5 linked regions of the Mus musculus genome follow. The protein of the gene in region 1 binds, or shares a complex with, the protein of each later gene. Links are inferred from orthologs where the notes say so. Each region holds a gene or a part of one and is shown on either strand. Other genes may lie near its edges. The genes, in order: Rps6ka1, Sntg2, Sntg1, Magi1 and Synj2bp.

Evidence for each region.
Region 2: the proteins of Rps6ka1 (region 1) and Sntg2 are in contact, whole or in part, in a crystal structure (PDB 7QQL), measured with the Homo sapiens proteins. The link is inferred for Mus musculus from reciprocal best matches to the Homo sapiens genes RPS6KA1 and SNTG2. Residues at the interface, in NP_002944.2 of Homo sapiens: Pro731, Ser732, Thr733, Thr734, Leu735; in NP_061841.2 of Homo sapiens: Gly82, Gly83, Leu84, Gly85, Leu86, Ser87, Ile88, Lys89, Gly90, His94, Ser101, Lys102, Phe104, His134, Val138, Leu141, Arg142.
Region 3: the proteins of Rps6ka1 (region 1) and Sntg1 are in contact, whole or in part, in a crystal structure (PDB 7PC8), measured with the Homo sapiens proteins. The link is inferred for Mus musculus from reciprocal best matches to the Homo sapiens genes RPS6KA1 and SNTG1. Residues at the interface, in NP_002944.2 of Homo sapiens: Arg728, Lys729, Leu730, Pro731, Thr733, Thr734, Leu735; in NP_001274742.1 of Homo sapiens: Gly67, Phe68, Gly69, Leu70, Ser71, Ile72, Lys73, Gly74, His78, Ile80, Ser85, His118, Glu119, Val122, Leu125, Arg126, Arg141.
Region 4: the proteins of Rps6ka1 (region 1) and Magi1 are in contact, whole or in part, in a crystal structure (PDB 5N7F), measured with the Homo sapiens proteins. The link is inferred for Mus musculus from reciprocal best matches to the Homo sapiens genes RPS6KA1 and MAGI1. Residues at the interface, in NP_002944.2 of Homo sapiens: Pro731, Ser732, Thr733, Thr734, Leu735; in NP_001028229.1 of Homo sapiens: Arg480, Gly481, Phe482, Gly483, Phe484, Thr485, Val486, Val487, Gly488, Asp490, Lys499, Ser500, His532, Val536, Phe539, Gln540.
Region 5: the proteins of Rps6ka1 (region 1) and Synj2bp are in contact, whole or in part, in a crystal structure (PDB 7P74), measured with the Homo sapiens proteins. The link is inferred for Mus musculus from reciprocal best matches to the Homo sapiens genes RPS6KA1 and SYNJ2BP. Residues at the interface, in NP_002944.2 of Homo sapiens: Pro731, Ser732, Thr733, Thr734, Leu735; in NP_060843.2 of Homo sapiens: Arg18, Gly22, Leu23, Gly24, Phe25, Asn26, Ile27, Val28, Gln33, Ser45, Arg46, His78, Val82, Phe85, Arg86.

The regions. Positions count from the first base shown.
Region 1 is NC_000070.6:133,884,294-133,889,786, reverse strand, and holds the start of Rps6ka1 (ribosomal protein S6 kinase alpha-1), read left to right. Parts: upstream 1-1,989; 5' UTR 1,990-2,154; coding exon 2,155-2,217; intron 2,218-5,493. UniProt on the Homo sapiens protein: Serine/threonine-protein kinase that acts downstream of ERK (MAPK1/ERK2 and MAPK3/ERK1) signaling and mediates mitogenic and stress-induced activation of the transcription factors CREB1, ETV1/ER81 and NR4A1/NUR77, regulates translation through RPS6 and EIF4B phosphorylation, and mediates cellular proliferation, survival, and differentiation by modulating mTOR signaling and repressing pro-apoptotic function of BAD and DAPK1.
Region 2 is NC_000078.6:30,222,471-30,227,379, reverse strand, and holds part of Sntg2 (gamma-2-syntrophin), read left to right. Parts: intron 1-405; coding exon 406-612; intron 613-4,909. UniProt on the Homo sapiens protein: Adapter protein that binds to and probably organizes the subcellular localization of a variety of proteins. May link various receptors to the actin cytoskeleton and the dystrophin glycoprotein complex.
Region 3 is NC_000067.6:9,296,158-9,301,866, reverse strand, and holds the start of Sntg1 (gamma-1-syntrophin), read left to right. Parts: upstream 1-1,989; 5' UTR 1,990-3,734; intron 3,735-5,709. UniProt on the Homo sapiens protein: Adapter protein that binds to and probably organizes the subcellular localization of a variety of proteins. May link various receptors to the actin cytoskeleton and the dystrophin glycoprotein complex.
Region 4 is NC_000072.6:94,280,381-94,286,080, reverse strand, and holds the start of Magi1 (membrane-associated guanylate kinase, WW and PDZ domain-containing protein 1), read left to right. Parts: upstream 1-2,163; 5' UTR 2,164-2,758; coding exon 2,759-3,071; intron 3,072-5,700. UniProt on the Homo sapiens protein: Plays a role in coupling actin fibers to cell junctions in endothelial cells, via its interaction with AMOTL2 and CDH5. May regulate acid-induced ASIC3 currents by modulating its expression at the cell surface.
Region 5 is NC_000078.6:81,529,617-81,535,114, reverse strand, and holds the start of Synj2bp (synaptojanin-2-binding protein), read left to right. Parts: upstream 1-2,203; 5' UTR 2,204-2,335; coding exon 2,336-2,399; intron 2,400-5,498. Other genes in the region: Gm20498 (Synj2bp-cox16 protein), read left to right, coding at 2,336-2,399. UniProt on the Homo sapiens protein: Regulates endocytosis of activin type 2 receptor kinases through the Ral/RALBP1-dependent pathway and may be involved in suppression of activin-induced signal transduction.

The sequences.
Region 1 (5,493 bases):
GTGCACATGTCTGTGTGCATGTGTCTGCATGTATGTATGCATGTGTCTGTGTGTATGTGAGTGTATGCATGTGTGCACATGTCTGTGTGCATGTGTCTGCATGTATGTATGCATGTGTCTGTGTGTATGTGAGTGTATGCATGTGTGCACATGTCTGTGTGCATGTGTCTGCATGTATGTATGCATGTGTCTGTGCATGTGAGTGTATGCATGTGTGCACATGTCTGTGTGCATGTGTCTGCATGTATGTATGCATGTGTCTGTGGTACCTGTGCATGAGGATGTCTGAACATGTGCATGTGAGTGACCATGTATGTCTAGGCTACAGGTTTATCTTTTTATTGTGTGAGTCTCTCTTTGAACCTGGAACTCACCTATTTGGCTTGCCTGGCTGACCAATGAGATCCTGTGTCAGTAGCCTCCGCAGTGAGATTATAAATGCTTACTGGGAAAACAGCATCTGTTTTTATTTCTTTTTTGATTTAATTTAATTTTTGATTTTTAGACAACATCTCTATTATGCAGTCCACACTGGCCTCAAAGTCACAATCCTCTGGCCTGAATCTCCTGGATTAAATTTATTTCTATTTATTCATTTATTTATTTACTTAGTTGGGTTTTTGGGGTTTGGGGGGTTTGTTTGTTTTGTTTTGATACAGGTTCTTACTGTGTAGCCCTGGCTGGCCTAGAATTGGCTAAGTAGCCCAAGCTAGCCCTGAACAGAGATCCTCCTGCCTCTGCCTCCCTACTGCTAGGATTAGAGGCGTGAGTGACTTCTCTCCACTTAAAAATGTACTGCATTAAAATGTCTTTATCGGGGAAGGTTGTCCCTGTGCACATTTGTGGAGGTCAAAGGACTGCTTATGAGTTGGTTCTCTTCCACCACATGGGGCCTGGGGATCAGACTCAGGGAAGGCAAGCTCTTTTACCCATTGAGTCCATCCACGGACCCACCCCACACTCTTTTAAACACCAGTGTGCTCCTGACCTGCTGTGTGACTTCGGATAAATAGCTTAGGGTGTCTACTAGGATGGGGTGGAGTCTCAAAAAAAAAATCACAAGCTGCCTGAAGGTGGAGGTCGGAGATACTCAACACGACCTGGCCGGCAAAGCCTGGGTTCCATGGCCATAACCAAGCAAGGAAACGTAACAAAAAATAAATTCCCTATCAATGACGCCTGTCTTCGCTGGAGGCTTTTAATAAACGAGCCAGCTTGTCTTTCACCTGAGAGTAAGTCTCACGACACCTGGGGCCTAAAATCTCCTTAAGAGCAGGCCAAATCTTACTGGAGAGAATCCTGATCCCACCAGAACTGGATTTTGCCTTCTTTCCAGGGACTCCTGCTCAAGTCAGACCACAATCTGGTCTGCCACGGAAGAGGCGCGGACCTGGCCTGAAACCAGCGCCCTCAAGTGATAGGGCACAACAGACTAGGAAGGAGAAAAAAAAATGCGTATTAGGAAATCACCCTGGGGGCGCTGTGGGTCCTGGCGCTGGCTGGCTTGGGACCCGGGGATCACATGGAGACCCCAAAGTGTGGGCTCCCGTGATGTGCACAAGCTTTCGGAAGGGGGCGATCCTAAGGGCTTGGAGAGCTGAGAGCCAGAGGGCACAAGGCCCAGGCTCCTTCCACGCCTCAGTCGGGATCAGGCCCAGGACGTCCCATGTAAATGTGGGGTGGCAGCCCCTCCCCCTGGAGGGAGAAGGCACATCTGGGTTAACATCCCAAAGGCTGCTAGGACAGGACAACGGAGGCCCCAGCGAGGTCTGCAAAGCGGCACAAAGCCCGGGAAAACGGAACCCGCGGAGCCTCCGGTGGGCAGGGCCGACAGTGGGCTGGGGTCTCTCGTGAAGGCAAGGCTGACTCCCGGCGCGTTGGGGGCGGGGGTCCGCGCCGGGAATGCCGCGCCGTGGGGGGACTGGGCGGGGCTACTCAGGCCCCGCCCCCGCGCAGGTAGCCAATGGGCGCGGCGGCGCCGGGTGACGGAGCGAGCCGAAGTGCGAGTGCCGCGGCGGCGGCGGACGGCCCATCCAGAGCGCGAGGGGCTCAGGGGCGTGCGGGGGTCTCGGTGTAGCAGCAGGGACCCCGTGGCCCAGAGGCAGCGCTGCCCGGGGCCGCCGGGAGGAGCGCGGGCGGTCCGGCAGCGGCGCGATGCCGCTCGCCCAGCTCAAGGAGCCCTGGCCGCTCATGGAGCTGGTGCCGCTGGACCCGGAGGTGAGTGAGAGGGGCGGGGGTTGGGGGGACAGGCGGCGGCGGCCGGCCAGCCCGGATCCGCACCGGGGCGGGGCGGGGGCGGCCCGCGGCGTCTCTGCAGCCCCGCGGGGACGTGAGTGCCCTCCGGTCTCTAGCTCACTGTCCGGCTCCACCCCCTTGTGCTCCGGGTGTGCGTGTGTAGGGGATGGTTCTGCTGGGCTCTCAGTACCTCCCTGCAGTAGCCAGGAGAGGAATCTCCACGGTGTGTTGAGATCTGACACCTAGGACCCATCCCGCTTATCATCTTTTAGTAGCTGTGGGAGTTGCCCCAATCAGTGCAGAAGGGAGAAAGGCTTGGGTCAGATGTCTAGGCTTCTACTAGAGACAAGGATCATGGGAATCCGGTTTCTCACCTTAACCTCTCCCCAAGACCTCTCTTCGTTCCTCCACTTCTGACCTTAGGAAGGTAGCCCTGCTGAATCCCAGGCAGTTATGGAACGTGGGACGATACCACCTCTGGAGTTGGAGCCTGCTTTCCTTTGCCCTAAAGCTAATGACACCGGGTCTTCCTACTTCAGATTATGCTGAAGAGTGGGGAAAGTCCTTAGATCTTGTGAAGACTGTCTCTGTAGAAGAGACTCTGCCTCCGTCTTCCTCTCTCCCTCCTTCCTTTCCTGTAGAAAAAGGCTGAGCCCTTGGGCAGTATGGCTTCTGCCACCTAGCCTTTCCCAGAAGCAACTCCTGTCTTTTTTGAGGGCTTTGTGGTCCAACCCTGAGCATGCAGGAGGCCACTTCTGTGCTGTCCTGTCACCCTGGGATCAAGGTCAAGTTTTGAACCAGCAACTTTAAAACTTTCCCTGCTCTCCTGCTGCGAAGGAGGCAGGTGAAACTCTGCCTTCCTTCACTGGAGCTGTTTTGGGGTACAGGAGGCTGGGGTACAGGAGACCTCACTTGATCCCAGAACCTAGATGCTTTTTCTCCTGGCTTGAACCCCTTTACCTATGCTTGGTACCTCAGGTCAGTCACTGTGAGCCCTGTCTCTCAGGACCACGGGCAGAGAGAGGATCCACAGTGAGATCCCCAAGTCTCCAGGCACTCAGGGCATGCTGCCCCTTTAAAGGGATGGGCTACACTGGCTATTGGAGGGTGGGCGCGGCTGGATTAGGTAACCAACCTGAAGGCGCAATTTGGAGTAAATTGTTCTGGGATCCTTGCCACGGGGGTTTTACAGGCCCTACACAGGCGCTCAGAGGCTGTCTGGCTGACTCACCCTCCTAGGTGAGGAGCACTGCTCTCTGCAGCCCCTGGTGCTCCCCCCACACTCCCCAGGACTGGGGCACAAGGCCCCAGGGAAGGCTCAGAGGTGTACTCCTTGGCTTGGGCACGCCCCTGCCACCTGGGCCTCCAGAGGAAGGGAGGCCTGACCTCGGTATGGCTAGGGAGGGACTCAGCCTAGGGACTCACAGCTTTACCCTAGCGCGGAGAGTAGAGTTCTAGGAGTGCTGGCCTCCTCCAGGGCAGCACTTCCTGCTTCCCTTTGGGAAATCCTGAGGCCAGAGGCAGCCTCATGGGGGCCAGGTTAAACCGGAAACATCTTAGTTTGAATACTGTTGCACCTGAATTCAGGCGAGGGGAGACTGTCACATTTCCTGGGATGGGGGAGAGGAGTTTTTTCATTGAGTTTCACTTCAGAAATGTTGTGTGGCCCTAAGTCCATCTTCAAGCTGTCTGGGCCTCTCCTTCCAGCACCACAGATGAGTTTCTAGCTCTACTTCCTGGGCCTGACAAGGTGCAAAACCCTGGGTCCTGCTGCCTGGGTCCCCTCCCCCAGGCCATGGAGGTGCCTGTGGACTGGGTGTTATTGTTTGGGTAACCAGAGCTGTGGGGCAGTGAGGGTGTGCATGCTCACTTGAGAACAGGGCCCTGCTGTTCTTCGTGCAGATGACACGTAAGTGATACAGTGCCTAGCCTGCAGGTACTGGCGCCATTGTGGCCAGGAAGAAGGCAGGTAAGGGGGCTGGCAAGGGCATTTGGCAGAAGAGGTCTGGGATCTGAATTGCCCTGTCTTCCCATTGCTGTCACCAGAAGTGGGCTGCTGGCAGGCAGGGCCCAGGTGGACTAAACCAACTGGACGTAGGGGTGAGGATGTTACCTGGGCTTTTTTTGGTTCTGCTGAAAGCAGCAGAGCTTTGTCTCCAGCTGCTACTTATTGATGTCATGCAACTTTAAAAAAGATGACCCCCCCTCCCATTTTCAAATGGGAAGGCAGGACTCAGGGATGCTGGCGTGTGCATTAATATCAGGACTAGAACCCAGTGCTGTCACTGTTTCCCTCCAAGCAAGAGAGACTCAAAGATGAGTGTGGGGTGGGTTTCAACTGGCACAGGTGGCAGGTAGGCAGAGAGCAGCTCCGGATGTTGGCACACACTTCTCAGGCCTCAGGGCCTTTGTCCAGCCTTGGCTGAGGGCTAGCAGTGTCCTGGCACTTGGCCCCCAGGCTCCAACAGTGCAACAGGGCTGCCAGGGCTGGGCTCAGAACCCAGTTCCTGGGGCTGCTTCCTGCCTGCAGGGCACGTGCTGTCTTTCCCCATCTGTTCTGCTCCCAGCTTTTCCAGAAGCTGCTCTGGACCCTTAGGTAGAAAGCAACATGTCTGTTAGGACCCGACTCTAACTCCTGGAAGGGGTACAGGGCACTAGGGGTTCTGAGCAGATGTCCATCTTCATGAGCTGTCCTCCTGAACAAGAGAGGAGAATAGAGTGCTCCAAGAGGCCAGGGGGACTTCCCTGTCTCAGGCTTTTCTCCCTGGTTCCAGGGTCTGGTCTTCATGTCATTTGTCTCTCCCTTCCTTTTTCCTCGCCTTCCCTCCCCTCCCTCCTTCCATCCAACCAGGGCCTTATGTGTACTACGCAGGTACTCTACCTCTGAGTTAAATCTCCCCCTAGGCCTTTTTAAAAGTCAGTTTCCCCAGGGGCCAGAAGAGGGCATTGGATCCCCACCACCCCTCCAAGCTTCAGTTACAGGCAGTTATGAGCTGTTCAACATGGGTGCCGGGATTTGAACTCATGTCCTCTGGAAGAGCAACAAGTGCCATTTACCATTGAGTCATCTCTCCAGCACCCCTTAGGCTTTTTAGACAGACTTCTTTCAGTCTCCTAGGTCATAGAGTGCAGCTCCTGACATGATAGACATGGAGACATGGGGCAGAGGAAGAAACCAAGACGCTGAAAAGGGATGTGACAGCTCTCACTCAGAGCCACTTGTGCCGGTGGCTTTGTGGTTACACAGCTGTGTTCTTC
Region 2 (4,909 bases), on another chromosome or scaffold:
TCATCTGGAAGTAGGGACAACTGGTGACATTCAGGTCCCTATAGATGACCTTGACATGCAGAATCTCAATGGAGCCGTGTCCTAAACAAGCACATCAGAGACACATTCCAAGGATACGGCTGCCTGTTATTAGGTGTGGCCAGCCGGGTGAGTCTATGATGGATCATCAGGCTGTGTCCAGTGCTTTCCTCCGTATTTTATTGCTTTGGCTATTGTTCTGAAAACATTTTTAAAGCACTTGCCCCATTTGGTGGTTGTGAGGAAGAGGCTACCTCTACCAGAGCAGTCAAATGCAACCCTTTTCTCAAAGAGTGGGTTGGGTTGAGTTCTGTAGTCTGGACTCAACCCTCCATTCCTGACCTATTTCCAATATATACTGTTTTGGGTTTTGTTTTTGGTTTTCAGTTCTGGCTTTCAGATAACTATTGGCTGCAGGCAAACCTGTATCTTGGTCTCCAAGATTTTGACTGTGAAGACCCCAGGTCATACTGCTTCAGCGTCCTGGCCAACCATGGGAAGAGCCACATCTTCAGTGTAGAGCTGGGCAGTGAGCTGGCCGTGTGGGAGAAGGCATTCCAAAGAGCAACTTTCATGGAAGTTCAGAGAACCGGGGTGAGTATGTTGTGGGACTCACACTCTTCTCACTATCAGCTTTGGGGCAATATCTGACACCTTGGGGATGGAGTGTAAATAAGGATTTATTTCAGGAAAGAGAACTGTGAGAGGTGAATGGCTTTCATCTAAGTCACCATGTCGGAGCAGTCATCCGTGCTGAGCAGGGCCTCCATTAATAAGGAGAGCTGTCTGTCACAGGCTCTTGCATCTTGGTTCATATCTGCATTCATATTTACTGTGAGGAAAGGGCTGAATCTCCTTCCACTGCAGAACTCACAGACTGCCGTGGGAGGAGTTTGCACGCTGCAGAGCAGTAGGCTTGGAGACAGCTATAACCTGCTCTGTATCACCTGCATGTGCAATATTTTAAGACACTTAATGGCTTATCCTCTCATATTTAATGGCCCAAAGGAGAATGTGATACAGCAATGTGTCTGAATTGCTTCTCTGTTCTTGAAGACAGCAAATAAATCATCCACGAATTTAAATGTGTGTCCACTGAGCAGATAAGGAAGGAGGCATTATGGTTTCTGTTGTCGTAAATATGGGCCTCTTCATAGGATGTTTCCTGCTAGAGAATGACAGAAAATAAATGAAGCAATGCATCAGACAAGGTCTGTCTCCTTGCCAAGGTACTGGGTTCATGACTAGTCTGGTGATAACACTGAGAGAGTGATCACAGAAACAAAAAGCAATTGCTTCATTTCCAGCATGAAAAGATTCTGTTTATTTACCTGTCATTTGGCTGCCAACCTGCACATGGGCTCTGGGCTGTGCCAAACCATTACTGAGCATGGATCAGCCCTGATCATTCATTACACGTGGCATCTCTTAGATCACTAAATGTCCTAACATCCAGATGTCCATAGAAACTGAGATTTTCCCCTGAGGCCATCATTCATGGCGTGGGGGAATTGGTTCCTGATCCTCAATAGCATCTTAGAGCTAAGGCACCAACCTGGTGTCTCACTTTTTATAGAGTATGACATTGGAGGGAAAGTCCACAGCATTGAGGTCTCCTTCCTCAAGCACTTATTAGATGTGATATCTTGTACCTACCTAGAAATAATCTACACAGATAGCCCTTGCCACCAGAAGGCAACTTTGAGATGTCCCTTGTAGGGAGGGGACTTTGGGGCTACTTTGCTCTGACAACAATAGCACAGATTCTGCTTTGGAGACACATGGATGGTACCCATCTGGCCACTGCTCTACAGAGCCTCAGTCCAGGGACCTGGGACAGCATTGTCAGGTGAATACAATCTTCCTGAGGACCAGGGACAGACAATCAGGAGATATGCTGAGAATAAGAGGAAGCTCAATCATGGAACTTGGTGCTGGAGGGAAGCTTGTGGGCACTGTGAGTTATTCAGTCCGATAGATATTTGTGTCTGTAGTGTTGTTAGAAAGGAGACCTTCCCCTCACAACGGATAGTAAGTCCTTATGTATGTTCAGAAGTGTCATTCTCTAAAGGAGGATAAAGGTAACTAAGGAACTGGAACCATCACAGCCGCGACATCTATTCTCCAGCGGTTAACAGTGTTCAGACAAGGAAGGAGAGGGGGGGAGGGGAAGGGGGAGGGAGAGGGAGAGGAAGAGAGAGAAGAGGGGAGAGGGGAGGGGAGGGGAGGGGAGGAGAGGAGAGGGGAGGGGAGGGAAGAGGAGGGGAGGGGAGGGGAGAGGAGATTAAGGTTGAAAGAAAGGAGGCAAATTCTGAAGAAAACACTGTCAGCATCAATTACTGAGCTTGTGCAGGTCTTTCACAGTTGGTAAGGAAAGGAATGAAGATGACCCAGGAACTTTGGAGAGTCTGAAGGCTCCATTATAACTTAATACTCTGTTCTAGAAACTTAGGAAAGACCCTGAAGGCATTTTCAACAATGACCTACCCCGGAAGTGACTTACCGTCCCCGAATTTCTGTATTCCCTCTGAGAAACAGGTAGACAGGAGAAGGGTTGGATGCTTTTCCGATTTTCAGGCAAGCTCAACTCTAGACATCCTCTTCCCCTTTCAGTGTCTTGATCAGTCATTCTCCAAGTTATAGCATGATTCCTGAAAACAATGCATTCTAACATAGATGCATCACAAACTACCCTAGAAGCCCATACATACTTTATGCCAGGCCTCCTGCATTCCACACACCACACTTAACTTTTAAATGTGCAGAGAAGGCAACATTGATTTCCTTTCTGCTTCTCTGCACATAAGGACTCTATGGATTTTTCACAGCAACCTAGAAATTAAATTATAGTGGTGTAGTCTGAGAGTTCCTATGCTATATGCCCTGTTCTAATAAGACATACCGCCTCCCTAGATACAGAATGAAATTATAGGAGGGACCTCATAAGTAGTATATATAAAACACAGTAAGTGCCAGTCTCCTTTGATGGTTAACAAAGCTACATTTATTTCATGCATGTCCCATCTCTGGTTTTTCTTCTTTCTCCAGCTTTATGTGTATTGCCTTGGATCTTGTGCCAACCCAAGATTCACTATGTTAAGTGTAGGTGATATACATGATGCAATGTTGATATCATTCATTCTTCTTCCTGGTGGCAGCTGTGGGCTCATTTTCCTGCATGCATTAGCTAATTCGTCACCTCTATAGAAAGTCTTCTGAATGGTGCCTTTTGTGCCTCATGGACTCAGGGTACATTTCTACAGATAAGAGCCTCTATACCGCTGGGCAGTGGTGGTACATGCCTTTAATCCCAGCACTTGGGAGGCAGAGGCAGGTGGATTTCTGAGTTCGGGGCCAGCCTGGTCTACAAAGTGAGTTCCAGGACAGCCAGAGCTATACAGAGAAACCCTGTCTCGAAAAAGCAAAACAGAACAAAACAAAACAAACCAAAACAAAAGCCTCTATACCTTGCTCACGTGGACAGGACACGGTGCAGAAAAACCATCAGATTCAGAAGAGTAAATTGAGACTTCTCACTGACCAGTCTCCTCAACTTACATAGTCTAAATCAATATTGTTCTAAATAATATCCATGTAACAGATATCCAAAATTATTAAAGTCTCATTGTCACCCAGAAACATCTAACCTTTTCCATGGGTCCACTTTCTCCATTACTACTTCCCAGATTCCCATGAAAATGCCAAGATTGTAGCCATAGCCTTCAAACTGCCTTGCCATATATGCCAGAATATTTTAATTAAAATATATGCCCATTGCTTTGCGCATATAACTTTGGAATTTGAAATATTTTTATGCACTTTCCCACATCAGTTCCTCTCACATTTTGTTTTTTATAATAATAACATAGAGCCAGAAAGTGTAAAATATCTGTCTAATAGGTTGCTATTGGCTACAAGTAACAGGACTCGTTCTGCAACAGCAGTGAGAAGAAAAGGTGGCCCCAGTAACTCCACTTTGCTAGACTTCAGACTTGGATGTATTTGCTACCCAACAGATTGCCTCTTAGAAGCAAAACGTTTTCTTATGAATGCTTAGTGGACAAGGAAACAGTCATAAAATTCAGGTCTCTTCAGACTGATTCTGCTAGCTTGGAACAGGAGCTCATCAAACCATACAGTGGTATAGGGAACACCATATGCTAACGGATCTCTGCTACTACCCTCCACTTTAGGAACAGGGAAGATATTAGTTCCCCTGAAGCATAGTGGCAGAGGGGGCTAGAAGCATCTCAGTTATGAGAGCCCTATGGGAAAAGAGAACCTGGGCATGGATGCCAAGCAGGCAGTCAGGACACTGCAGACTTTCTGAAAGACAAGGGGATCTGAATACAAGAGGAATCCCATACTCCCCAAAGATTTTTAAAGCACATGCATCTCAGAACCTGTGGTAAATCAGTGCCATGTCTTCGTTTTTACATCTCCCGAGCCTTCAAGCTCTTTGGTTGTGTTCCAAAGCCCCCAGGTGGTTATCAAAACCTTGGATGTATTGAATCCTATATTCAGTGTTTACTTGTGCATGTCTACCTATGTTAAGGTATAAGTTATAGAGATAAGCAATAACATGGACACAGTATATGTAGCAGTGACAGGTAGTGAGCTATGTAAGGAGGTCCATTTCTCCTGTAATAGGCTCCTGTGTTGTCTTCATCCCCCTGCTATGATGCATGATGATGTAAGATGATGCAGTGCCTACCTGACGGAGGGAAAGGAGGTGCCAACCTAGCCATTGTAGTAGGTGGTATAGGCTCAGGCTACCATAAAAGAACTGTACAACAAGAAATGTCACCAGGGTTGGGGGATGGGAGGGTCATGACAACTTCTAAGCAATTAATGGGAAGGTAATACTCACTACATGGACATGGTGGACCAG
Region 3 (5,709 bases), on another chromosome or scaffold:
CAAACTAAACAGTTTAAGCAACTTTTCTAAGTGGCAGAAAAGAAAATTCTTTCTCAAGTGAGTCAGCCATCAGAATCACTTAAGAGAAAACATAAAAACAAAGTGGTGTGGGATGGGATCTCATGGATGTTGCTAGTGGCTGTTTAGGTGACTACTTTTCTTCTGCTCCATTCTATCCACAAACAAGAAGCAAACTGGACTGAGTTTTGTACTTAGTCAATGTGAGGCATCTGCCTTTATCTGAAACCAATTGTGCTCAGTGCTACAAGCACAAGCACACATGAAGCCCCAAGCACACATGAAGCCTCAACAAAGAATATCTTCAACAAAGAATAGCTGAGCTGATTAAAGTCACCCCCCCCCGACCAGTTCTTACACAGAAAATGAGCAAAGACTGTGCCCCCTAGCACCACTTCGTTAGGAAGTCCTCAGAACACATCAAGATAGTTGTTTCATTTCAGACATACTTGCCTATAGGTATTTTTAGTTGTATTTGATACAATAAAAAGAAACAGAGTAGAATTCAACTGAAGGCACTGAAACTTTAAATTGAACACTACCTAATTTTTTATATTGAGTGTTGACTAGGTCAGTTGAGGACTCTGGTCACTGCCTGTTTTTCATAGGTTGTTGTGCTAACTTACCTTCTGTATTCTATTTATACATTCTATATAAGAACATTTAGAAAATAAAAGTAACCTTTAAGAATAAAAGTGATTTAAATGATTTTTTGGACAAATCTTATCCAACAGAAAATTTACTTAAAATAGCTCTTCAGTTCACCTCAGACTATCTGTCCCTGTTTTATTTATACTTTATTTATTTACACTTCATTTATATACATTTGTAGCATCCGGTGATACACTTCATCATCTTTGTCCCACAATGCTTTGAACAGGTTGACTAGGAGGAATGTGCTACAGGTTTGTTTCTTCACAAAAAAAGACATCAAACTGTCATAATCAGCTAGTCTGACAGTTCAAATTAATCAACCCTTTCTTTTTTCTTGGTGGCAAGAGAGGGTGGCAGGAGAGAGGGAGGAGGGGAGGATGGAGAGGGAGGCTCTGTTATTAGCATGAATCTGTGCTCTACAAAGGGAAATCTCTCCCTGTGGTTGGATAATGAAGCGCATATGTTTTCAATTAGCAACATCTCGGTGCTTCACTTAAAGGCTTTTATTTGCTGTGCTAATTTCCTGTATGATTCATGTTTCTACATGTACAAAGAAAATGATTCAAACAATTACGTGAATCAATTGAAACAAGCATGCAAAACAGCAAAGAAAACCCATTTATTTTCAGGGGTTGGCCACAACAGGCAAACACAGCCTTTAAACAAGCCATTTTCATTCTCTAACCAAAAATAGGGCAACTACTTTAACTTATTTGGAGAAAGACGTATTTGTTTGCATGGATAACAGAAACACATGTTTGCATTGGTAGAACGAAGTGGGAAACGTAATTTACAATAATACTGGAGAATTTATTTCTCCAGGAACCGGAAAACAAAGCAGCTCTTTTAAAATTAGCTCCTAGTGCTAAATTGCATCTTATGTAGTGTTATCTCAGAGTGCTGAAGCGCATCATCAACTAGGCAACCTTTGGACTCCAAAATTCAGATGTGGAGAAAGTGGATGCGAGCCTGGTCCCTTGAGCTTTTTCTGTGAGGGGTAGCTCCACAAAGCATCCCGAAACGAGGGCGACACTTACTGGGGGCCTCTTCTAGCGCGAGCCAGGGGGTGCAGCTAATGCAAGGAATGGCCCCAGACCAGGGAAAGGAGGGTTCGTGCTGGAGGAAGGATGCTCAGTGCACTTCTCCAGAACTCCTTAGTTTCCCCCAGGGCAGTCGCCAGGCCTTTGGCGGTGCTGTCGCCTCCCGCATCCACCCTACAGCCCAGTGAACTGCGTAAAATGCGGGCGCCGCAGCTCCGGCCATAGGGGCGCGGAAACCCAGCGGGAGACGCTCGTGCAATCACTCCACGACTTTCCCAGTGCAGCCGGAGGTGGATAGGAGCGAGCACCCAGCAGCACTGCGTGCCCACGCGTTGTCCCTGCGCTAAGCCTGCACGCCCCCCTCGGTCGGAACAAACTCCGGGTGCACAAGTCTGCGCTGCACAAGTTCTTCAGCTGGAGCTGGGCGCTTACCCAGGTTGGCGTTTGTGGGGCGCTCTTCAGCCTTACCACAGTCACTCAGAGCTCCGCAAAGACGCCGTGTTAAGCAGATTGCCCCATTCTCACTCTGTGTATTTCAGTTCCCCCATCTCACTCCATTCGTGCCTGCACCAGTTGCCTTGTGTGGGCGGCGGAACCTCGGCGGCCTCCTACAGGGCCACCTTCTCGAACCCGCGTCCAATTCCACCGCAAGCTTCTCTACTGGAAGCCACCAGAAGCCTGACCGCGGAGCTAAGTAACCCGGGGGACGTCTCGGTCCGGTGCCTAGGCCTTGCTGGAGCCTTTTAGGGATAACAGCCCTGCCTACCTGATCCACTACCCTCATCCAGTCTTTTGTGCGGCGACACGCCCCCGCCCCTGCGGGAACCCGGGCTGTAGGCGGTGGGAGGGCGGGAGCTGGAACCCAACCTCCCTGTCCCTGCTGTCCCTGTCTGGGGCTCCCGGCCACGGCTAAGCTCTTCGCGGCGATACAGCCTCTCGGAAACAAAGGTATCCCTAGCCTTTTCCTGGCCCTTTCACGGTTTCTGCATTTTCTGACAAGAGTCTGTCTGTGTATCTGGGAACTGAGCATCCTTACTCTGTCATCTCGGAATTCCATCTAGAGCTCCGAAAATGTGAACGTGTCCGCGCCCTGGTTAGGAAGCAAGATCGCAGGGGGACCTCCAAAATAGCCCTTCTCATCTTATGTAATTAAGGACCCACGAGCTTCCCAAAAGCACCTCTACAGTCTCCACAGTGCTCAGCTTCTCTCCTCCTCCCCCTTCTCTCCCCTGTCTCTTTCTCTCTGTCCCCCGTCCCTGTGCGCGCTTGTGCGCGCGCCCGTGTTCGTGCGTTCTTTTTTCATTTCTACCATTAGGAAACCTACTCAGAGCCGCTGTGAACTTAGAAGAGGCTCAGCATTTGTTTCCCACGGATTTCTGCCTCTCCGGAAACGTTGCCAGCGTATACACATAAGGGTATCAAGATGGAGAGACCATTAATCCCCAAGAAATGAAACACGGCGGAGAAACGGCAAAGCTAGAAGTCTGGAAGAGGCCTTAGCAGGAGTATAGGGTCTGGAGTAGACTAAGGGGTCCTGGTTCCCCTCGCTTCAGCACCGGAAGGGATGGACAGCGTCTCCCAGCTGCGTGGCTGCCTGGGAGACCCAACTGTGTTGCTGCTGCTGCCTCTGCTGCTGTCCTCCTGGCCACAGTCATCTACAAGAGCTCTTAGCAGCTAAAAGGCGGTGCCTCTGGTCCCCTTCCTTGATGGACGAAAACCAGCCCTCCTCATCCTCTACCACTCATATCAACCTAGTTAAACTCTAGGCAGCAACTTCAAGAAAAATTTCTATACAGGACTCCGGGGAATGCAGGCAGAAGAGTGGAGTTGAAGTTCTTAGAAGCACCAAAGAACCATGGGCGTTGCAGTAGGAATTGAAATTCTCAAAGGCCCAGAGTTTTTAAAATAAGAACGTCCCTGAGTGGATTGCAGCTGTTGTGGAGACAGCTTTGTGAGAGGTCAGAGATACTAAAACCCCAACATTAAAGAAGCTGAGAAGACGTCAATTCCTCTGCTCAGCAGGTATGTGATAATACTATTACATCTGTGTTTCACCACACACTAATGACTTTGCAAGGTTTAACAGAAAAGATACAAAGATGCTGAGAATTAAGGAAAATGAGTACTTCTGGTTGTTTAAAAGTAATAATTCCTAGATTAGTATCTTAGAAAATCTCTTCCTTGATAAATTAGTCTGGAATTTTACTTTTCTGGAATCTCTTGACAGAGGTGACAACAATATGTAGTTGGCTTACATTAGTATAGCAAACTTTTACTTGGACATTTTCTTCTTGCTTAACTAATAGCTTTGGGGATCTCTGTGTATCTTATTGTTTTCTTTAAAACTAATGTGCACTGGTGTTTGGCGATCATACATATTTAGCTAAAAGCGACTCTGGTTGTGTTATATTGCATCTGAAATATATATTTGAAATTTAAATATATCAAAAAGTTGGAAATGGCTCAATCACCTCTTGTAATATTCTAAATGGTTATATTTTGTTAAAATGTTTAAGGCACAAAATATGTACGCATCAATATCTGATCCCTTTTGTAATCAGAGTCCCCAAGTGTAGCTAGACCTTAGACTTATCAACAGATATCTCAAGGCAGGAAGTGAGCAGCTTCCTTGTGCGTCTGTAAGAGAGTAGGGTTCCTTCAGTATTCTGACTGATTAGTTCTACAAAACCTATTTGTTTCTGAAATCAAGTGATAGAGACTAATCAGTTACTAATAGACCATAAACCTTAACATGATAATTAATTTTTCTTGATACTTAACGTGATAATTCTTTCTTGATACTTCTTTCTAGACTCTTCCTTTAGAGCTTTAAAATTACAGCTTCCACAATGACCTTGATAAGCATTGGGCTTTAATGAAAGGGGTTTTCTGTGTAAAAAGCAGTTATACAAATGTGTAGTCCATGGCTGGCATTTCAGAAAGAACTCATTCAATTCCAGCGATTGCATTCTGCTCAACGGAGAGCTTTGACTCACAGTAATGAGTCTCATAGTCGTGATGGCATATGCTTAGCCAAGTCTGTGGAAAGAGTTTGTCTCTTGAAAAACTGCAGGAGTTTGGAAGAATTTTTTTTTAAATTTTATAAACCATGTATAGCTGAAAATAAAATACCTTTACATCACATACAGTAACTCTCACTTTCTTTCTTTGAATGCCCAATCTCCTGAGCCAGGGTGGTACTTGTTGGTAGACTCATGGCTGCCTGTTATATAGTGACCAAGAGTAACAATTCTACTCTGAGGAACTGTCATTTTTAACTGTCACTCACCACGAAGCTGCCTGCCTCACAGAGAGCAGCATCTCCTTGGAGGCATGTTTGCCCTAGATAGGTCAGAAGTGATCTTTGGAGGACTAGAAAATCTGCACTAATTGCCGTGGAGCCCAGAATTTGTTTCTTTTTCTAGTTTAAGAAATGTGGAAGCAGATTGCCACATGGAAGATGGAATCATATTTTAGCAGAGTTACAGCATGTGACTAGACTATTAGTTTGATTCTTAATTAATTAATGTAGACAGACTCCCCCAGTCAGTGGAGCATAAAATGATATGTGGGAATGTGCTCTGGAATGAAGCCTGTGTGTCTTATGACCGCAGTTCCCTTCTCAGTGGTGGAGGGGGCAGGCTTTCTCTATATGGAACAGAAACTGAGTAAAGTAAAAGTTACCTTTGTCTATCCCTTTGCTGATTTGGAAGTAAATAAGTTGAATTCACCACTCCAAACTCAACCAAGTGTATTGAAGGTCTTGCCAGAAGCTGTCTCTGGAGAAATGTTAAAATACTGAGATAGAATTTTTGTAAGCATCTTTAGTAGCTGTCTAAAGGTTAATCTCTAATCACAATTAAGCAAGTAAGTAAGTGGGTAAATAAGCGAACCAATAAAAGAGTAACAGGGTTATTGGGAATCTGCCTTTATTTTGATTTCACTCATCTCTGAAAAGAAATCAGCACTGTATTTGAAAAAGTGTCTCCCATGCATG
Region 4 (5,700 bases), on another chromosome or scaffold:
GTATCAATATTATAATGGCATCTTGGGTACAAAGGCAGGGAAGGTTACAGTTTAACAGTAATGGTTGACAAAGAGTGGTGGGTTCTGCTAGTGAAGTTTTTGTCAACCTGAGGAAAACCTAGACACAGCTGGAGAAAGAGCATGGTAGCGGACCTGGGGAGTAGCTATGCCTATAGGGCATTCTCTTGATTGCTGGCTGTTGCAGGAGGACCCAGGCCACTGTGGTGGGTGCCATCCTTGGGCATGTGGACCTAGGATGTAGAAGAAAGGCAGCTGAGCAATCCAGGAGAAGCAAACCAGTAAGGTGCATTCCTGAGCTCTAAGTTCAAATAGACCCTTTTTGACTAAGTCGGTTTTGGTTAGTGTTTTATTATAGCAACAAAAAGCAAATTAAAACATCCTAGAGATGCTGATGGCTAGATCTCTGTTAGGGTTTGGCAGTTAGGTTTGAAGGGACTGCTCATTTGACCTCAGTAAAACCAAAACCAACAAAACCAAAAAGCAGCCCCCCTCCCCCAACACCACTATCACCACTTGGGGGAAAACACAACCAACCAATCCCCCAAAAACAAAACCAAAAAAAAAAAAAACAACAACAAAACACCAGAGACATGAAATTCCTTTCACCTTTTCAAATAATCAGGAGCAAGACGGTTTTTTGTGTGTAGCCAGTCTTAGGGAGCCCAGGCCATCCTCTCCTAGACTTTGCCTTGAATTCTTGGTCCCCATGCCTCAGCCTCACAAGTACCAGGATTACAGATGTAAAACGCCAGGCCCTCATTCTTATTAACTTAGAATAGCTCTCTAGAAACAGGGCTTGAAGAGCTTAAATGTATGCTTATGTTCTAGAGAGGGGATTACAACCCCAACCACTAAGGACTCTGACACCCCCCCCCCCCCCAGTTATCAGACTGTGAAATTTTATATGCCACCATAAATTATTTACTTTGCAAGTTTCCAGTGCCTATGTATTATTTCTAACAACTCTGTGTGTGAGGTGGGGTGGGGTGGGGGTGGGGGTGGAGGAGGGGGTGGGGGTGGGGGTGGGAGTGATTGTATTCCTCCAGCCTTGGCAAGTGGAAGGTCTTCACTTAATGTTGTACTTAAGATGCCTGCGGAATCTGAACTTCAGACCTATCCTCTCGACCCACCTCAGTGACATCCTCATCTCTCTGAGTGGCTCCAACTCAGCTCCTTTTATCTAGTAGATTCTCAAGTCCGTGACCAAAGAGGAACTCATTGGAAACCACTGAAAAATAAACAAAACCGCTAGGGCCACCACTGCACTGGCTTCTTGGCGGTGGGGGCTGTTCTTTCTGTCCCGGCCTCACCAGTGCCCCGATTACTGGACCCCGCCTCTGGGCGGCGAATTCCGAGGTGGCCGGCTCGCCCACGCTTGTGCAGGACCCGCACCCTGCGGTGATCTTTACTCCCCAAAGCAGTGCTTAGGTTTCTCGGCTCTCCTAGAAGCCAAAGGGGGCTGGCCACCGCCGCCCCCTTTGCTGGAAGGACAATGAGAGGCCAGCGAGAAGTCTTAGGTAAAAAGGCCACGCTAGCTTTGGCTTTTCTCGCTCGCTGGCAGTTTTTTCCTTGTCCTAAAAAGTTGGCCCCAAAGTTTAACGATGGGAGCGTATGTGTAGGTGCGTTTGGTGGGCGCGGACAGGGATGCAGAGGGTGTGTGGGTCTTGTTGATTCGGGTCCTCAGGGTCACAGAGACAAGAGCCAGGCTCCGCATGTGGACTTGAACCCCTGGGCGGGGAGCAGGCGCGGAAATGTGGCGGAAGGCGCGTGAGCGATGGCGTGGCCAGGCACTAGCGGAGGACGAGGAGGGACCCGGGTAGGCAGCAAGAGTGTGAGCCCCGCGCTGAATTGGTCTCCCAGCCCCCACCTGTTTGAAACGATTTGCAAACACCAAAGCCAAATTCTCTGTGTTCCAAAAGTTCGAGAGCTGGAGTCGGGCAAGCACACGTGTTCCCCCAAAAGGCTCTGGCTGAGCCGACCACACTGCAAGAGGAGGAATTCTAGGGGTGCAGGGAGAGGAGCAAGTTGGCGTCAATGAAGGGTCGGCCCTAGGACCCCGCGGGAGGCGCGTTGGAATCTCTCCCTTCCAGGAGGAGGGGTGGGGCGGGCCTGCCCGCGGGCGGCCGCCGGGCGCATGCGCGCGCGTCTCCTCTCCAGCCGGCCGCTGCGCTCCGCCGCGCGGAGTAGAATGAACTGTAACAAAACAAGCCGAGCCTTTGTATCTGCTTAAAGGGGCCGCGGCCACTTCCCTCGCGTCCCCTCACCCCCGCCCCGCGCCGTCGCGTCTCCAGGGCTCCCGGCAACTAGCTTGGAAAGGGCTTCCCTCGCGCTGAGGAGCGGCCGGCCGGCGCGGAGCAGGCGCGGCGTGTGTGGAGAGAGCCGCGGAGCGGAGAGCGGGCCCGGGCGGCGCCGGAGTGGACTCTGGTCCCGGGAGCGCGGTCGGCGCCGGAACGCGGACCCGGAGGCACCGGAATGCAAACAAAGCTCGCGGGCGCCCGTGCAGGGCTCTTCACGGAGCCCGGAAAGTTTGTTTTATGATGGCTTGAGAGCGCGAGAGAGTCGGGCGAGGAGGCTCGAGTAGCTCGCTCCCGCGCTCCGAGAGATGCTTCTCCCGTGAGCCCGCCGCTCCGGGGGCTCGTGCTGTGGGGGCACCTGTCTCTCGTTTTAGCAGTTTTCTTTTCTTTTTCTTTTTTTCTTTAATTTGAATTTTGTTTTCGAGGAGGGGCTGTAACTCATCATGTCGAAAGTGATCCAGAAGAAGAACCACTGGACTGGCCGCGTTCACGAGTGCACCGTGAAGCGGGGACCCCAGGGCGAGCTGGGGGTGACGGTCCTGGGGGGCGCGGAGCATGGGGAGTTTCCGTACGTGGGGGCGGTGGCGGCGGCCGAGGCGGCGGGGCTTCCCGGCGGTGGCGAGGGGCCGAAGCTGGCCGAAGGTGAGCTGCTGCTGGAGGTGCAGGGGGTCCGGGTGTCCGGCTTGCCCCGCTATGACGTGCTGGGAGTCATCGACAGCTGCAAGGAGGCCGTCACCTTCAAAGCCGTCAGACAAGGTAAGACGGGGCGTGCCTTTGGGGGGCGCACCCCGAAAAAGAGGGGAGGCCTGAGGGGGCGCCGTTTGCTCCGAGTGCTGTGAGCCAAAGTTGAGGCCCGGACCAGATGCACTCAAAGTTGTGAGGTTGTGGGCTGTGCGCCCACCTGCGTGGCGGGCTGGGGCCGGGGTTGCGCCGGGAAGCGGGGAGATGCTTCCCAGGTCTGGTTTGCCAACTTCTAGGTCGTAGCCACCTAGTGCTGCGCAGCCTCGCCTTCACCTTAAGGCAGATGGGGAACTGAGGGAGGCTAAGGTGGACGCTTCCCCCAGCCCCTTACGGGATGGATGAGCTCACGGAGCTGGTGGCTTGCCACTGCCTGTTTCCCTGAACTGGAGAGTGGGTCGTGGAAGGAGAGGGTCTATTTATGGTTGATTGGAATTCTTCCATCACAGAATTTGCCTTCATCCTGCAACCCCTCCAGGTGGGGCTGGGTTATAACCCACTGGAGTCCTTAATCCAGCCTCCTGCAGAGCCCGCAATCACCCCACAGCGGGGTGACGTCTGTGTCTCCTCCTTGTGGAGACCTACGGTGGGGGAAGGGGTGATTAGCGCTTGGCGCGAATCTAGTCCAAGTTTACCCAGCCACCTCCTCCTCTTGCACCGTCGTCCTTATTGATGATGGTTGTTGAGAGTTACAATTCATTGTTAGCGTGTTATGTGAGAGGCTGTCTGTAAAGTGGTTTAATTGCATTATCTCATTCTGATTCACATCAATGCTATAAGAACGACTCGGTTTTTGTAAGTCCTATATTACAATAAGTAAGCCGGGTCTGACCTTAGGTAAATGACTTGCCCAAGGTCACACAACTACCAAAAGTGTATGGGTCTTTTTTTGTTAAACCTTGAGCAAGGAGGAGGAGGGCTTGAGGGGACGACTTTCGGGACCTGAGTTTTGGGGTGGGGGTGGGGAAGCAAATCCTCCCCTAGAAGTCTGTAGGATAAGGATGGCTTTCTGTAGGGTAAGGATGGCCGTGGGAGAGTACTCCCTCGCAGTTTGGTCTGAGCAATGGTCTGATCCTGTAGCTAGCCACCGGAGCATAGCTGCAGTCCTTAGAGGCATCCCTCCTGCACCCAAGTGCTGTGACGCAGGTTCTCCCAGATGAAAGCACCAGAGGAGGTGGCAGAGTTGAATGTGGTGAAAAGTTGCCATATGTTCCTGTCAGGATGGCAGCAGCTGAAGGAAACGTGTCAAAGGAAAGCGGGGAGAGCCAGCGCTCTCAGCAGCAGGCCGCTTCCAGATGACCGGAGGATGAGCGCAGTACTGTGTGCGGGGAGCCTAGTAGCCAGGCCTTTCTATCCTGTTGGGAGCGCAGAGGCTGACACCTAACAGTGGAATGTCCATATCCTGCTACTTGGCCTTGCTTGATGAATCTGTCCTTAGGAGTTTCTGGTAAAATCATAACCGAGGAAGTGTGCTGGTTCACAGTAAGTGCTCAGGAAAAGCGAGTTGTATTGGAGTTGGATTTAAGCAGTTAGCAATTCAGTTTTTAGCTAGGAATTTAATGCCAGTTCCCCGGGTGTTTATGACTTGGTAGAGCTGTTGAGATAACACTGTGACAGGCATTTATTTATTGGGGGAGGGGGGCAGCATTGGGTTTGAGTTCAGGCTCATTTTGCAGAAAGATTTCTCATCCGGCAGGATGGCAGGATGTCTGGGTGGTGGTAAATGGGTCCTAAGACTTGTTGACCATGGGCAAGAAGCTTCCAGAAGCTGAGCTCTTCCACTATTTTGCAGAGACCCTGGAGCTAGCTAGTACCCCTTCTCCCTCTCCACTCTCCCTTCCTCTCTCTCACCCCTCTGTGTGCACTTTAGTGGTGGTGGTGGGAGATGCCTGTGGATTTGACAGTTATTATAGTGCCTTCAGGTGTCCTATGATCAGGGCTGTCTTTTGCCAACAGAAATGCTCACAAAGGGAGAGAGTGGGCTTGTGCTTCTGAACAGCCTTGCAATAGGCTATGAGTGCTGTGGAATCCACCACATTATAAAGACTGTCACATGTGATAATGACATGGGCACAGTTACTGTGAAGATGACCCTAGGAACCATTTCAACAATCCTCTCACTTTCCTGTTGCAAAATGATTTAAATTATAGGACATATTTGTCTCCACCTTTTTTTGTTACTGTGTCTTATTGTATCGAGTAGACTGAGCTAGTATTTGGGAAAAATATATTTTTTATGGTGTTTCCATTTTGAGTTAGCTCTCACAGGGACATAGTCACTCTGGGTACATATCTGCGTGGAGATGTCACAGTCTTCTTGTGGTAGAAGATTGTACTCTTTGTGTTGCATGGCAGGTTTCTATAGCAAATAGTATCTCATGGATAGGAGTGGGTTGTGAACGAGACTTAGTAGACCCACATTAAGTGGAGAGGACAGTTGTTGGTCATAACATGCTTAAAAATATTAGAAATGTATGTATGCTAGTTGGATCTGTGTATGCATATTATTTTCAGAATTCAGATACTTAATATGCAGAATAATAGCAGAATTCAGATCTTTAAAAAACTAGACTTTTAAACTGATATGTGTGTGCGTATATATGTATATAAGCATAAAAACAGTACCTACGGGTTTGTTTTGTTTTTG
Region 5 (5,498 bases), on another chromosome or scaffold:
CAAGGAAGTAGAAGGAAAACTTTAAATCTCTGAAGGAAGGAATTCAGGGAGCTACTAGAAAACAGAAAAACTATCCATACTCATGAATTGGTAGAATATTGTGAAAATGATAATTCTATCAAAGGCAATGTACAGATTCAGTGCAATCCCAGTCTCTCAAAGTCCACCCCCACAGTGACACACTTCTTATAACAAAGCCACACCTCATAATAGTGCCACTCCCTAGGCCAAGCATAAAACATCACAGATGAGGATTAGAAAACAAAGCACTCAAAAGATAGTAAGGGACAATAAAAAGCATGGCTATGTGTTCATTGCTTTTAAAGTAGTTATCTATGAGGTTTACGTGGAGTTTGAAGTCACTGTCTTACTAGTAGATGGTTGTGGAGGGGCACCTGACAGGTACAGTTGACAGAGTTGAGGTGTAGTTCTACAAATAAAGGAAGGTAGGACATGTTACACGTGGTTTAAGATTCTCAGGCAATTTCTAGAGAAAGGAATGAAGTTCCTGTCCACCTAGAGCCATACACATTGAGGTTTTAGGCTTAGGACATTGACAATTTTATATACATTATCTATGCAGGGAAGAAATATTAAGTCTATGTCAGCAGCCTTTACAGCAAATGCTGCTCAATGTGCTAGAATGCTTGCTCAGTTGGCAAGAGTTTTTTTTTTTTTTTAAATGGGTAATTTTTTCCTTCCTTCCTTCCTTCCTTCCTTCCTTCCTTCCTTCCTTCCTTCCTTCCTTCCTACCTTTTCTTTCTTAATATGTAAGTACACTGTAGCTGACTTCAGACACTCCAGAAAAGGGTATCAGATCTTGTTACAGATGGTTGTGAGCCACCATATGGTTGCTGGGATTTGAACTCATGACCTTTGGAAGAGCCGTCAGTGCTCTTACCTGCTGAGCTATCTCAGCAGCCCGGCAAGAGATTTTAATCAGACCTGGAGATGACAGGATCCTTCTCCCCTCATGCCTCAGGTTCCCTGCCTTCTTGTCCTGTCTCATTCCTATAGAATCCACCTCTGACTTGTTTTAATAAACCTGAGTTGCTGGCTTGGCTTTTAGCCATAACTTTGAATACCATAGTCTGATTATGCAGTCTTTGATTCTCTTAACACCACAGGAGTCCCTTGAGTCACCATACATATTTATGGTCACCTTCCTGGTCCTTAAGGCCTTTGTAGTTTTGATACCTGAAAGTTTCTTCACCTCTGTTTGGAATGTCCGATCTTAAAAGTCAAGATGGGCTGGAAAGTCACATCTTAAGTCTTGCAATCATTTTGTGAAAAGGACATTTCACCTCCTTTTGCTTGGAGGATTTTTCTTGAACAAGCCTATGATTATCTTTCCTCTGTATATGTGTACACATTTCTTAAGTTAGATAGGCCTATTATTAAATGCAAGCCAGGGATATATACATCTATTTAAAAGTTAAGTAAGAGTCTTGTCAGGTCTAAGTTAAGAAATCTTGTGCATAAGGCCCTGGAAAACAATGCTCTCAGATGTAAATATCAGGGAAATCCTCACTTCCTGTCATGTGTGTCAGCCCAGGTGCCTTGCTTTAAGCAGTGAACACTTGCTTGATGAGAGAGAGAGAGAGAGAGAGAGGGGGGGGAGGGGGAGGGGGAAGGGGAGGGGGAGGGAAAGGGAGTGGGGAGGAGGAGGAGGGGAGGGGGAGAAGGAGAGATGGGGGGAGGTTTCATTTTTTTATTTGGATACATTTTATTAACTAACACGGGGACTGCTAACGAAGGAACTTGAAGCAGTGTTACCAAGTTTTCTTACATGGGGCATCACATTGGATTTCATCTGTATTGCACAAAAGGTTACAATTTCCCACCCAAGTATGCAATCTCATTAGTACTTTGCCTATGATGCCTTTCATAGAGTGGTTTGAGGCTCATAAAAGATCTCTCTCACACACACACACACACACACACACACACACACACACACACACACACATTTGTAGATATTTTGAGATTTTTATTTAAAATGTCAAACGTATCAATGTAATTCTATCTCATACCATTATTACCCTCTCTCCTTCCCCATGCTCTTCCAGTGTAAGCGAGCATTATACCTCTCTTTGCTCATGGCTCCTCAGGATCGGCCTTGAGAACAGTGCGAGGTACCGGAAAACGCTGGTGGGCTCAGAGAACCACCACTCCCAGCATCCTCCACGTTCCCAGTGCCCGCGGTTTCCTTTTCCGGTCTGACCGCTGAGGAAACTGTAAAAGCTATGCTGGGGAGGCAGCGCGGAGCTTGATTCACCTTCACCTGCTCTGGCCACCCGCTGACCCGGGGTTTCCGGCCGGAGAGCAGTCAGATATGAACGGACGGGTGGATTATTTAGTCACGGAGGAAGAGATCAACCTGACGAGAGGACCTTCGGGTAGGCGCGGGACATGGAGGGAGTAATTGCTGCGTCCCTTGCTTTGGCGGAGCCGGGTTTACCTGGCTGGAGAGCAGGCAGGCCCCGACCGAGCGGCTTCCCAGAACGCTATCGGGCACGGAGCAAAGAGTCCATTGGCATCTTTTGTTAGCTAGATAACGGACCCAAGGACTCTGCCCCATAATCCAGTCGGATTACCACAGGCGTTTATGGCCAGGACGGGTTTCTTGCTGTTGGTGGCAATAGCCAAGACCAGGAAAAAGCCCGCTGTTTAGCCAGCGTGTGGGAGCCGCCGTATCCGTTATTCAGTTGCTTGCTCCATCCTTGTTTCTTCGCCGAGGGCCCGTTCAGGTAAAAACAGGAGCAGCGAACGGCGGTGTGTGTGTGTGTGTGTGTGTGTGTGTGTGTGTGTGTGTGTGTGTGTGTGTTTCTGAGTGTCTCACAGTTTCTCCGGTGCTAGGGTCCCTGCCTGCATTTTTGCGGAATCAATTTACCATATCAACTGGAATGCTAAAGCGGGCGGAGACCTTTTACAGAAGTTTTCAGACCTGGCCACACTTGACCACCATTACTTGGGCGTTTTCGTTTTTACTTTTTAGCAAAATATTGAAATGAAAATGTTGTTTTCTAGTCTCACCTTTAGAAATTTGGATTCAGTGTGGATCAAACAATTCTTGAAACAAACACTTCATGTGATTCTGACAGGAAAATTCCCATTTAGCGTTGCTGTGTGGTCTTCCTCATGGATGCTCATAGCTGGATTACTACATCGTGTCACTGCCTTCCTTAGGCTTTGCAGTTTTCTTTATGGCCTTAACATTTTAGGTTTAGGGTTCACCACTTAGAGCCAAGATTTTTTGTTTTTGTTTTTTGTTTTAAATCTAACATCTTACCAGTTTTTTGTTGTTGTTGCTTTTTTTTTTTTGGCTTGTTTTAATGTATTGGCAGAATAACTTAACTGATGGATTCTTGTAGTTTCTTTTCTGTAACATGGAGACAGTTATGAAATGAAGCGTTTCACATATAGTGTTAGGATGAAGCCACTTGCTCTCTGGAAAATATTTAGGACAATGTCTTGATATATGGTAAGCAGTGTGTATTTGTTACTGTTGTCATTAGTGAGTGAATGGCTAAACTGACTCCAGTAAGTTCTGTTAGATACTGTATTCCAAGAGTTGAATAAATCATTGGTTACTGTGAATTTCTATTCTGATGGCCACTACTTAGCATAGTCTGTTAACTTTCCTTATCTATAAGTTTGCAATAGCTTAATCACTGCTGACTATTCTGTGTAAAGCACAGCTTTCAGAACTAATCATATATTTTGTCTTCCTGTTATGAGAAAATTGGAAGTTGATCATATTTATGGGAATAACTCTCTGCTAATCTTTGTGGTTTATACAGAAGCTTTGCTCTGGGTAGTTCTTTGGGGGTGCTGAGGTAACTTGACAGAAGCTAGAGTTAATCTGGGAAGACCCTTAGTTGAGAAAAAACGCCCCCATCAGATTGCTTGTAGGCACTCCTGTTGGCCATTTCTTTTTTTAAAGATTTATTTATGGCCGGGCGTGGTGGCGCACGCCTTTAATCCCAGCACTCGGGAGGCAGAGGTAGGCGGATTTCTGAGTTCGAGGCCAGCCTGGTCTACAGAGTGAGTTCCAGGACAGCCAGGGCTACACAGAGAAACCCTGTCTTGAAAAACCAAAAAAAAAAAAAAAAAAAAAGATTTATTTATTATATGTAAGTACACTGAAGCTGTCTTCAGACACTCCAGAAGAGGGCGCCAGATCTCGTTACGGATGGTTGTGAGCCACCATGTGGTTGCTGGGATTTGAACTCCTGACCTTCGGAAGAGCAGTCGGGTGCTCTTACCCACTGAGCCATCTCACCAGCCCCCTGTTGGCCGTTTCTTAAGTTGATGATGGAGATGGGAGAGCCCAGCTCACTGTGGGCAGTGCTACCATGGGGCAGGTAGGTGGTCCTGGATTGTACGAAAGCAGGCTGAGTAAGTCATTAGGAGCAAGCCAATAAGTAGTGCGGTTTCAGTTTGTGTCTCCAGGCCTGTGTTGACTTCTCTTCATGATGGTCTGTTTAGGATTCAGTAACTCCTTTCATCCCTTCATGCTTGTATCATGGTGTTTTTTTTCATAGCAGTAGAAACCTAAACTAAACTCAGAAACTTTTGCCCAAGGCTTTTCAATATGCCCAAGTTTCTTGAATCTAATTTTCTTATTTTATTTAATTCTTCAATCCAACTTTGAGATTAACGTAGTAGAGATGGATTTTTATTACATTTGTGTGTCTATGTGTTTTTGTTTGTTTGTTTGTTGGGGAAGGGGCCCGTAGAGGTCAGAGGACAACTTTCAGGAGTCAGTTTTCTCCTCCTATCATGTGGGTTCCAGGGATTGAACTCAGGTTGTCAGACTTAATGGCAAATACTTCCTACCCGCTGAGTTATCTCACCCAGCAGTCTCAGATCTGTAAATAAAAGTCTGTTTTTTTTTAATGTGTTTTTTAACCTTTTGCTAATGAACCCATAGGATCAATGAGATACACATTTCTGATTCCCTTTGCAAATGCATTAAGGCATCTAGTTCTTTAACCTAAATAACCTACCATGATACTACTTTTTGTGATGTTTGAGATTGTCTTCTTGCCACATAGCAAGAACCCAATATACTTGGATATAGAGTCTTAGCTGTGGTATCACAGTATTACCAGGTCTTCTGACAAGAGCAGACTTCTGATATTAATCACAGTATTACCAGGTCTTCTGACAAGAGCAGACTTCTGATATTATTCTTGCTTTAAGCATAAAATTTGACATAATATCATTGTTTAAACTTTTGGGCATTTGAATAGGCATTGTCTAATTTCTAAGCATTGAACTTACAGATCTAAAGTTTCTAGTCTTAGTATTTTCCTTCAAAGATTAGAGCAGGGAAAAGCTTCAAAAGACTAAATAAGAGGAATACTTATAGCTAGTTAACATATTTTTACACAAAAGGGTTTATTTTTGAATTGTATAGTTATTTGTTTAAAAATAAAGTTCCATTGAGTGGTTTCTGGACTTTTTATAAAATATTTTAAAATATTAGTCAT